Linked DNA regions of Macaca fascicularis. Each later gene encodes a partner of the first gene's protein in a complex. Links are inferred from orthologs where the notes say so. Each region holds a gene or a part of one and is shown in the gene's direction. Other genes may lie near its edges. The genes, in order: GTF2E2 and POLR2G.

What was found.
Region 2: GTF2E2 (region 1) and POLR2G share a complex: the UniProt entries of both Homo sapiens proteins name them as parts of the TBP-based Pol II pre-initiation complex. The link is inferred for Macaca fascicularis from reciprocal best matches to the Homo sapiens genes GTF2E2 and POLR2G.

Annotation. Positions count from the first base shown.
Region 1 is NC_088382.1:33,818,747-33,822,560, reverse strand, and holds part of GTF2E2 (transcription initiation factor IIE subunit beta), read left to right. Parts: intron 1-2,654; coding exon 2,655-2,762; intron 2,763-3,814. UniProt on the Homo sapiens protein: Recruits TFIIH to the initiation complex and stimulates the RNA polymerase II C-terminal domain kinase and DNA-dependent ATPase activities of TFIIH. Both TFIIH and TFIIE are required for promoter clearance by RNA polymerase.
Region 2 is NC_088388.1:11,292,048-11,295,961, reverse strand, and holds the start of POLR2G (DNA-directed RNA polymerase II subunit RPB7), read left to right. Parts: upstream 1-1,327; 5' UTR 1,328-1,412; coding exon 1,413-1,681; intron 1,682-2,970; coding exon 2,971-3,130; intron 3,131-3,914. UniProt on the Homo sapiens protein: Core component of RNA polymerase II (Pol II), a DNA-dependent RNA polymerase which synthesizes mRNA precursors and many functional non-coding RNAs using the four ribonucleoside triphosphates as substrates.

The DNA of each region.
Region 1 (3,814 bases):
ATATCTTTTTGTACAAGAAGTAAAGTATAATAAGGTATACTGAAGGAGTCTTGTTCTCACCTGTCTTGCCACTCATTTTCTCCCCTCTTGTGCTTCCTACAGGTAACCTCTTTTATTTGTTTCTTGTGACTTTTTCAGTGGTTCTTTATGCAGAAACAAAGTTCAAATGTATACTTATTTCTGCCCTTCCCTGTATACAAGGTTTCATAGTGTGTATATTTTTTAACATACATATTTTTTTCTTATTTAAAAATACTTTATTTTTTAGAGGAGTTTTAGGTTCACAGCAAAATTGAGTGGAAAATACAGAATTCTCATCCATTCCCCTCCCATCCCCCTGCCCCCCATGGCTTCCTCCACTATCAGCATCCTGCACCAGAAGAGTACATTTGTGACAGTTGATGAACCTATGCTGGCAAATGACCACTCTAAGTTCATAGTTTACATGAGTTCATTCACTCTTAGTGGTGTTCTTTCTGTGGGTTTGGACAAATGTGTAATGGCCTATGTCCACCACTATAGTTCTCAGGGCTCTGCTTGTTCATCCTTCTCTCCCCTGCAACCCTTGGCAGCCACTAAACTTTTTTTAATTTTTAAATTTTTATTTATTTATTTATTTATTTTTGAGACAGAGTCTTGCTCTGTTGCCAGGCTGGAATGCAGTGGCTTGATCTTGGCTCACTGCAACCTCCGCCTCCCGGGTTTAAGTGGTTCCCCTGCGTCAGTCTCCTGAGTAGCTGAGACTACAGGCACGTGCCACCATGTCCAGCTAATTTTTTGTATTTTAGTAGAGATGAGGTTTCACCATGTTGGCCAGGATGGTCTCAATCTCCTGACCTTGTGATCCTCCCATGTCGGCCTCCCAAAGTGCTGGACTACAGGTGTGAGCCACTGCATCTGGCCTGCAGCCACTGAACTTTTTATTGTCTCCGTGGTTTTTGTCTTTTCCAGAATGTCAGTAGTTGGAGCCATACAGTATGTAGCCTTTTCAGATTGGCTTCTTTCCCTTAGTAATACGTATTTAAGGTTTCTCCATATTTTTTTCATAGCTTGATAGCTCATTTCGTTTTAGCTCTGGATAGTATTCCATTGTCTGGATATACCACAGTTTATTTACCCACTCAGCTACTGAAGGACATCTTGGTTGCTTCCAGCTTTTGGCAATTATGGATAAAGCTGTAATAAGCATCCTTAGTGGATTTTTGTATGTACATAATTTTTTGGCTCATTTGGGTAAATACCAAGGATCATGATTGCTAGATTCATCAAATGGTAAGAGTGTATTTAGTGTTGTAAGAAACTGCTGAACTGTCTTCCACAGTGGCTGTGCCATTTTGCACACTCTTCCTGTTCCTTTGCATCTGCTCTAGCTTTTGGTATCTACGTGTGTGTGTGTGTGTGTGTGTGTGTGTGTGTGTGTGTTCATTGGATAGGCATGATACATATGTGTTTTAACTTATTACTTTGTCCTGGACATCTTTTCAAATTAGCACATAGAGAAATTTTACATTTACTTTGTGAACATCAGTATAGTGGAATGGATGTGCTGTGGTTAATCTATCTTCTGATTATGGACACTTGGGTTATTTCTAATATTTTCTTTTTATAAACAATGCTACAGTGACCATAAGTCACTTTTCTTTTCTTTTTTTTTCTTTTTTTTTTAAATTTGAGTTGGAGTCTTGCTCTGTCACCCGGGCTGGAGTGCAGTGGCGTGATCTCAGCTCACTGCAAGCTCCACCTCCCGAGTTCATGCCATTCTCCTGCCTCAGCTTCCCGAGTAGCTGGGACTACAGGCACCCACCACCATGCCTGGCTAATTTTTTATATTTTTAGTAGAGATGGGGTTTCACTGTGTTAGCCAGGACGGTCTTGATCTCATGACATCGTGATCCGCCTGCCTTGGCCTCTCAAAGTGCTGGGATTACAGGTGTGAGCCACTGCGCCCGGCCCGTAAGTCATTTTTCTATGTGGTACTGGTATTTCTGTAGGATAAGTTTCTAGAAATAGGATTGTTTGGTGAAAGTTGAGTATCTTTTCCTATGTTTAAGGTCATTTTTGTAATCTGCACGTTTCTGTCTTTGGGTCATTTTCTGTTTTTTTTTTTTTTTTTTTTTTGAGATCTTGCTCTGTCTCCCAGATCTCAGCTTTCTGCAGCCTCCTTCTCCCAGGTTCAAGCGATTCTCCTGTCTCAGCCTCCCAAGTAGCTGGGATTACAAGCATGCACCACCATGCACGGCTGATTTTTTTATTTTTAGTAGACATGGGGTTTCACCATGTTGGTCAGGCTGGTCTCGAACGCCTGACGTGAAGTGATCCCACCTGCCTCAGCCCCACAAAGTGCTGGGATTACAGCCGTGAGCCACCATGCCTGGCCTATTTGTTAGGTTTTTGAAGCTCTTGAAATATTAGGAAGAATTAGCTCTTGGTGATATGAGTTGCATATATTTTTTGTCAGTTTATCTTTTTATTTTATAGAGCAATGAGTTTCAACTCCGTTCTGATTTCATAGTCTGTGGCTCTTCGTCACTATAATTATACTACCTGGAATAATACATGTTTTTCATTCCTGAAGATTTATGTACACGTAACTATGATTTAATGCATCTAGCATTTTAAAACTGTCTTCTAATAACAGTTTCTTCACTTGATAGACACGGCATCAGCGAGGAGATACGCATCCTCTAACCTTAGATGAAATTTTGGATGAAACACAACATTTAGATATTGGACTCAAGCAGAAACAATGGCTAATGACTGAGGTGAGAATTTAGTTGATTATCAAGAGAGATTTCCTGTAACTAGAATTTTTTTTTTTTTTTTAGGCAGTCTTGCCTAAAAAAAGAGTCTTGCTCGGGCTGGAGTGCAGTGGCGTGATCTCAGCTCACTACTGACTTGGCCTACCGAGTAGTTGGGATTGCAGGCATGCGCCACAATGCCAGGCTAATTTTTGTGTTTTTAGTAGCGATGGGGTTTCACCATGTTGGCCAGGCTGATGTTGAACTCCTGACCTCAAGTGATCGGCCCACCTTGACTTCCCAGAGTGCTGGGGTTATAGGCGTGAGCCACCGCACCTTGCCTAGAATGTTTTAATATGGTGAAATCTGATAATGCTTTTTACTTTTTCTTAAAAGAAATGTTGTAGGGTCTTTGTTTTTTGAATGTACACATTTGTAAGATTGATTTGTTGGTTTTCACTTAATTTTATGTATCTATTTCAAAATGTTAAAGGTAAGACTTCTGTGTAAAGGTTGTAAAGAAGTCATTGTACCAGTTCCACTTATGTTTTTACAGATTAATTAATGCTTATTTTGTATTGCCAGATTTATAATTTGTATGCTTGTAAATTGAATTGTTTTTGTTTTAGAAAATTTAAAGCATAAGATACTGCAGGGATAGGAAGATATTTTGTTGCATAATTACTGCTCTTATGGCTTGATGTGGAAAAAAGTCGTGAATGCTGTGTATGAACACACACCATTTGAAGAAACCCCAGCACAGTCAGTGACCATGCTAATTTGGAAATAAATAGCATTTAAAAATTCAGATGTTCACTGCTTTTGAATTTAAATGCGAAGTGAAAACTAAGAAGACTACTTTCTAGGACCAGAGAGAGATTCTAGAATCCAAATGTAAAATTCCTAACATATAATTCATTTATTTTTTTACCACGCAAAATATAGGTCTTGACTTTTATAATGTAGCATGACCATTAATTAGCATAATTGTAGCTCATTGTATTAGTGATGTACAAACAATGGTAATCCACATTTAAATTTGCTGGTTTAGCTAACCTTGAGAGTTCATAGACTAC
Region 2 (3,914 bases), on another chromosome or scaffold:
TGGATTTCCTGCACTCCAGCCTGGGTGACACAGCGAGACTCCCTCTCAAAAAAAAGAAAGTGAATTAATCTATAATCTGAGAACAGAAGTTGTAAACTATATGTGACTCACAGTCATATCTCTCTCGAGGCTTAAAATATTTTTTGGGATTGCAATAGCTTTTAAATTTTTTCTTTCTCTCTCTCTCTTTCTTTCGTTCTTTCTTAGTGTTGCTCTGTTGCCAGGCTGGAGTGCAGTGGCGCGATCTCAGCTCACCGCAGCCTCCGCCCCCCGGGTTCAAGCGATTTTCCTGCCTCAGCCTCCTGAGTAGCTGGGACTACAGGCACATGCCACCACGCCCGGCTAATTTTTTGTATTTTTAGTAGAGTCGAGGTTTCGCCGTGTTAGCAAGGATGGTCTCAATCTCCTGACCCCATGATCTGCCCGCCTCCGCCTTCCAAAGTGCTGGGATTACAGGCGTAAACCACTGCGCTCAGCCTAAATTTCATTATTTTCTGTAGTTTCCTGGCCTTTCGACTAAGGCTCATGTAAATTTTTTGTTATTTCTACACCAATTTCTGTAGATTATTATGAGAATTAAGGGAGATAATTATATAAAGGGCTTAACACAGTGTCTGGCATTTAGGAAGAAAGCAGTAAGTGGTAGCTATTATTTATTATTATTTTTTGTGATGGAGTTTCGCTTTTGTTGCCCAGGCTGGAGTGCAGTGGCCTCCCAGGTTCAAGCAATTCAGAGAGTTGCTGGCCGGGCACAGTGGCTCACGCCTGTAATTCCAGCACTTTTGGAGGCCGAGGTGGGTGGATCACCTAAGGTTGGGAGTTTGAGACTAGCCTGACCAACATGGAGAAACCCCATCTCTACTAAAAACACAAAATTGGCCGGGCGCTGTGACTCACGCCTGTAATTCCAGCACTTTGGGAGGCTGAGGAGGGCGGATCACAAGGTCAGGATATCAAGACCAGCCTGGCTAACCCGGTGAAACCCCGTCACTACTAAAAATACAAAAAATTAGCCGGGCGCGGTGGTGGGCGCCTGTAGTCCCAACTACTGGGGAGGCTGAGGCAGGAGAATGGCCCGAACCCGGGAGGCGGAGCTTGCAGTGAGCCGAGATCGCGCCACTGCACTCCAGCCTGGGAGACGGAGCCAGATCCGTCTCAAAACAAAAAAAAGAGAGTTGTGGTTTGATGGCCGGTGGGGGGGCGGGGCGGTGGTGAGGGGCGGGGCTTAGTGGTTCACGCCCACGGCTACAAGGCCCAATCAGACCCGTGGAGCAGGTGGAGTTCCGCCCTCGCTGAGGAGGTGGAGTTCCGCTCTCAACGACGCAGCAGGCGCGGAACTGGGGTTGCGGCGGCTAAGTGTGTTTCCGGTAGATTCCCAGGGGCGGTCGGAGGTGTGGACTGTTCCTGCCTTCATGCTCTGGGAAGATGTTCTACCATGTGAGCAGGGCCCAGGGTGGCGGCAAGGGCTGGGTGGAAAGGAGGAGCAAGGCCAGGCGCCGGCGCGAGGCTCCCCTTGTCGTCTGATAAGCTCCCAGCGCGTGGCCTGGTCGCCATCCCTCTTTTCTCCGCAGATCTCCCTAGAGCACGAAATCCTGCTGCACCCGCGCTACTTCGGCCCCAACTTGCTCAACACGGTGAAGCAGAAGCTCTTCACCGAAGTGGAGGGGACCTGCACAGGGAAGTGAGTGCCGAGCTCACCGTGCCGCCAGATCGTTCGATGCGCACACGGGTCGCTATACCTGCAAACCCTCCGCAACTCCTATTTAGTCCTGCCACCCACTCTAGGGACCCCGCTCACCCTCTCAGGCAGCCAGTTGCTTCCTGCTTTGGGTTCCCAGGGCGCCCTCTGCAATGCTGGACAATAAGACTTCCTTCCCTCAGCTGAGATTGGTCATTCATTCATTTACTCCTCAGACATTTTAAAAACACTTGGTGTGTGCCAGGACCCGTGTTGGGCTCAGAACAAGGTAGAATGGGAACAAGATAGAATGAGGCCAGCTCTTGTGGAGCTCACAGTGTAGTCATTGTTCCTGTGTCTCCTCTCACTCTGTCATTCTGCTGGTTTTCTCTTATCCCCTGTGTCCAGGGACCACACACCGTGGGCCTCTATATATCTTCTGAATGGATGACCAGAAAAAGTGGATCGAAAGTTTGGGGGAGGAAGGAAGTAGACTGGGACTTGACCATCTCTGGGCTTTGCACTGAGGGCCTTCTGTGATATTAATGAGCTGGGACCCAGCCCAGGGCAGTGGAGTACTTGGGCCTCCAGCATCAGAAAAACCTGCAGGAACATGCAGATTCCTGAGCCTCCTTATTCCCTACAGAATCAAGACTCTGTGAGGCAGACCTGAGAATCTGCATTTTAAGAAGATGATTCTCAGGCATCCCGAAGATTGAGATCTGTTTCCTCAAGGACTCCAGCCTTCTTGTACATTTACTGTGAAATTACCAGAACAGCATTTGGTCTTATACATACTGATCTGTGTTCTTTTTTTTTTTTTTTTTTTTTTGAGACGGAGTCTCGCTCTGTGGCCCAGGCTGGAGTGCAGTGGCCTGATCTCAGCTCACCGCAAGCTCCGCCTCCCGGGTTCAGGCCATTCTCCTGCCTCAGCTTCCCGAGTAGCTGGGACTACAGGCGCCTGCCACCTCGCCTGGCTAGTTTTTTGTATTTTTTAGTAGAGACGGGGTTTCACCGGGTTAGCCAGGATGGTCTCGATCTCCTGACGTCGTGATCCGCCCGTCTCGGCCTCCCAAAGTGCTGGGATTACAGGCTTGAGCCACCGCGCCCAGCCCATACTGATCTGTGTTCTGTCTTCTCTTGGTCATTAAGCTCTCTGGGAGCAGAGGTGCTATCTACTTGTCCTTTTGCTCTCCCCGACACTACTCCCAAGAGCTCAGTGACTTTTATTGCAGATGTCTCTAGAGGCTCTTGGACACACAATGTCTTTCTGTTTCTCATCCTCCTTGCAGGTATGGCTTTGTAATTGCTGTCACCACCATTGACAATATTGGTGCTGGTGTGATCCAGCCAGGCCGAGGCTTTGTCCTTTATCCAGTTAAGTACAAGGCCATTGTTTTCCGGCCCTTTAAAGGGGAGGTCGTGGATGCTGTTGTAACTCAGGTCAACAAGGTGAGACCATACGTAGGGGAGGCATTGGGGTAGTCTCTCAGTAGATCTGGGTTGGGTCCTGGCTCCACTTCATAACTGTGCCTTCAGCTAAGTCACTTTACTTCTTTTTTTTTTTTTGAGACGGAGTGTTGCTCTGTCGCCCAGGCTGGAGTGCAGTGGTGCCATCTTGGCTCACTGAAACCTCTGCCTTCTGGGTTCCAGTGAGTCTCTTGCCTCGGCCTCCCAAGTAGTTGGGACTAAAGGCAGGTGCCACCATTGCCGGCTAAGTTTTTGTATTTTTTTAGTAGAGATAGGGTTTTGCCATGTTGCCCAGGCTGATCTCGAACTCCTGAGCTCAATCTGCCTTCCTCGGCCTCCCAAAGCGCTAGGATTACAGGTGTGAGCTACCACGCCTAGCCATCACTTTACTTCTTGTGCTGCACTTTCAAATTGTATGGTAATCTTCCCTGCCCAACTCAGAGGGCAAGAGTCAACATTAATAGTCATAACAATAAAAGCCTGTGTTGATTGAGTAGTGACTGTGGGCCAGGTGAAGTGCAGAGACTCACAATGACTAAAAGGTGGGTGCTTTCCTTTTTTTTTTTTTTTTAAGATGGAGTTTAGCTCTGTCGCCAGACTGGAGTGCAGTGGCACAATCTTGGCTCACTACAACCTCCGCCTCTGGGTTCAAGTGATTCTCCTGCCTCAGCCTCCCAGGTAGCTGGGACTATAGGCATGCGCCACCACGCTCAGCTAATTTTTGTATTTTTAGTAGAGATGAGGTTTCTCCATGTTGGTCAGGCTG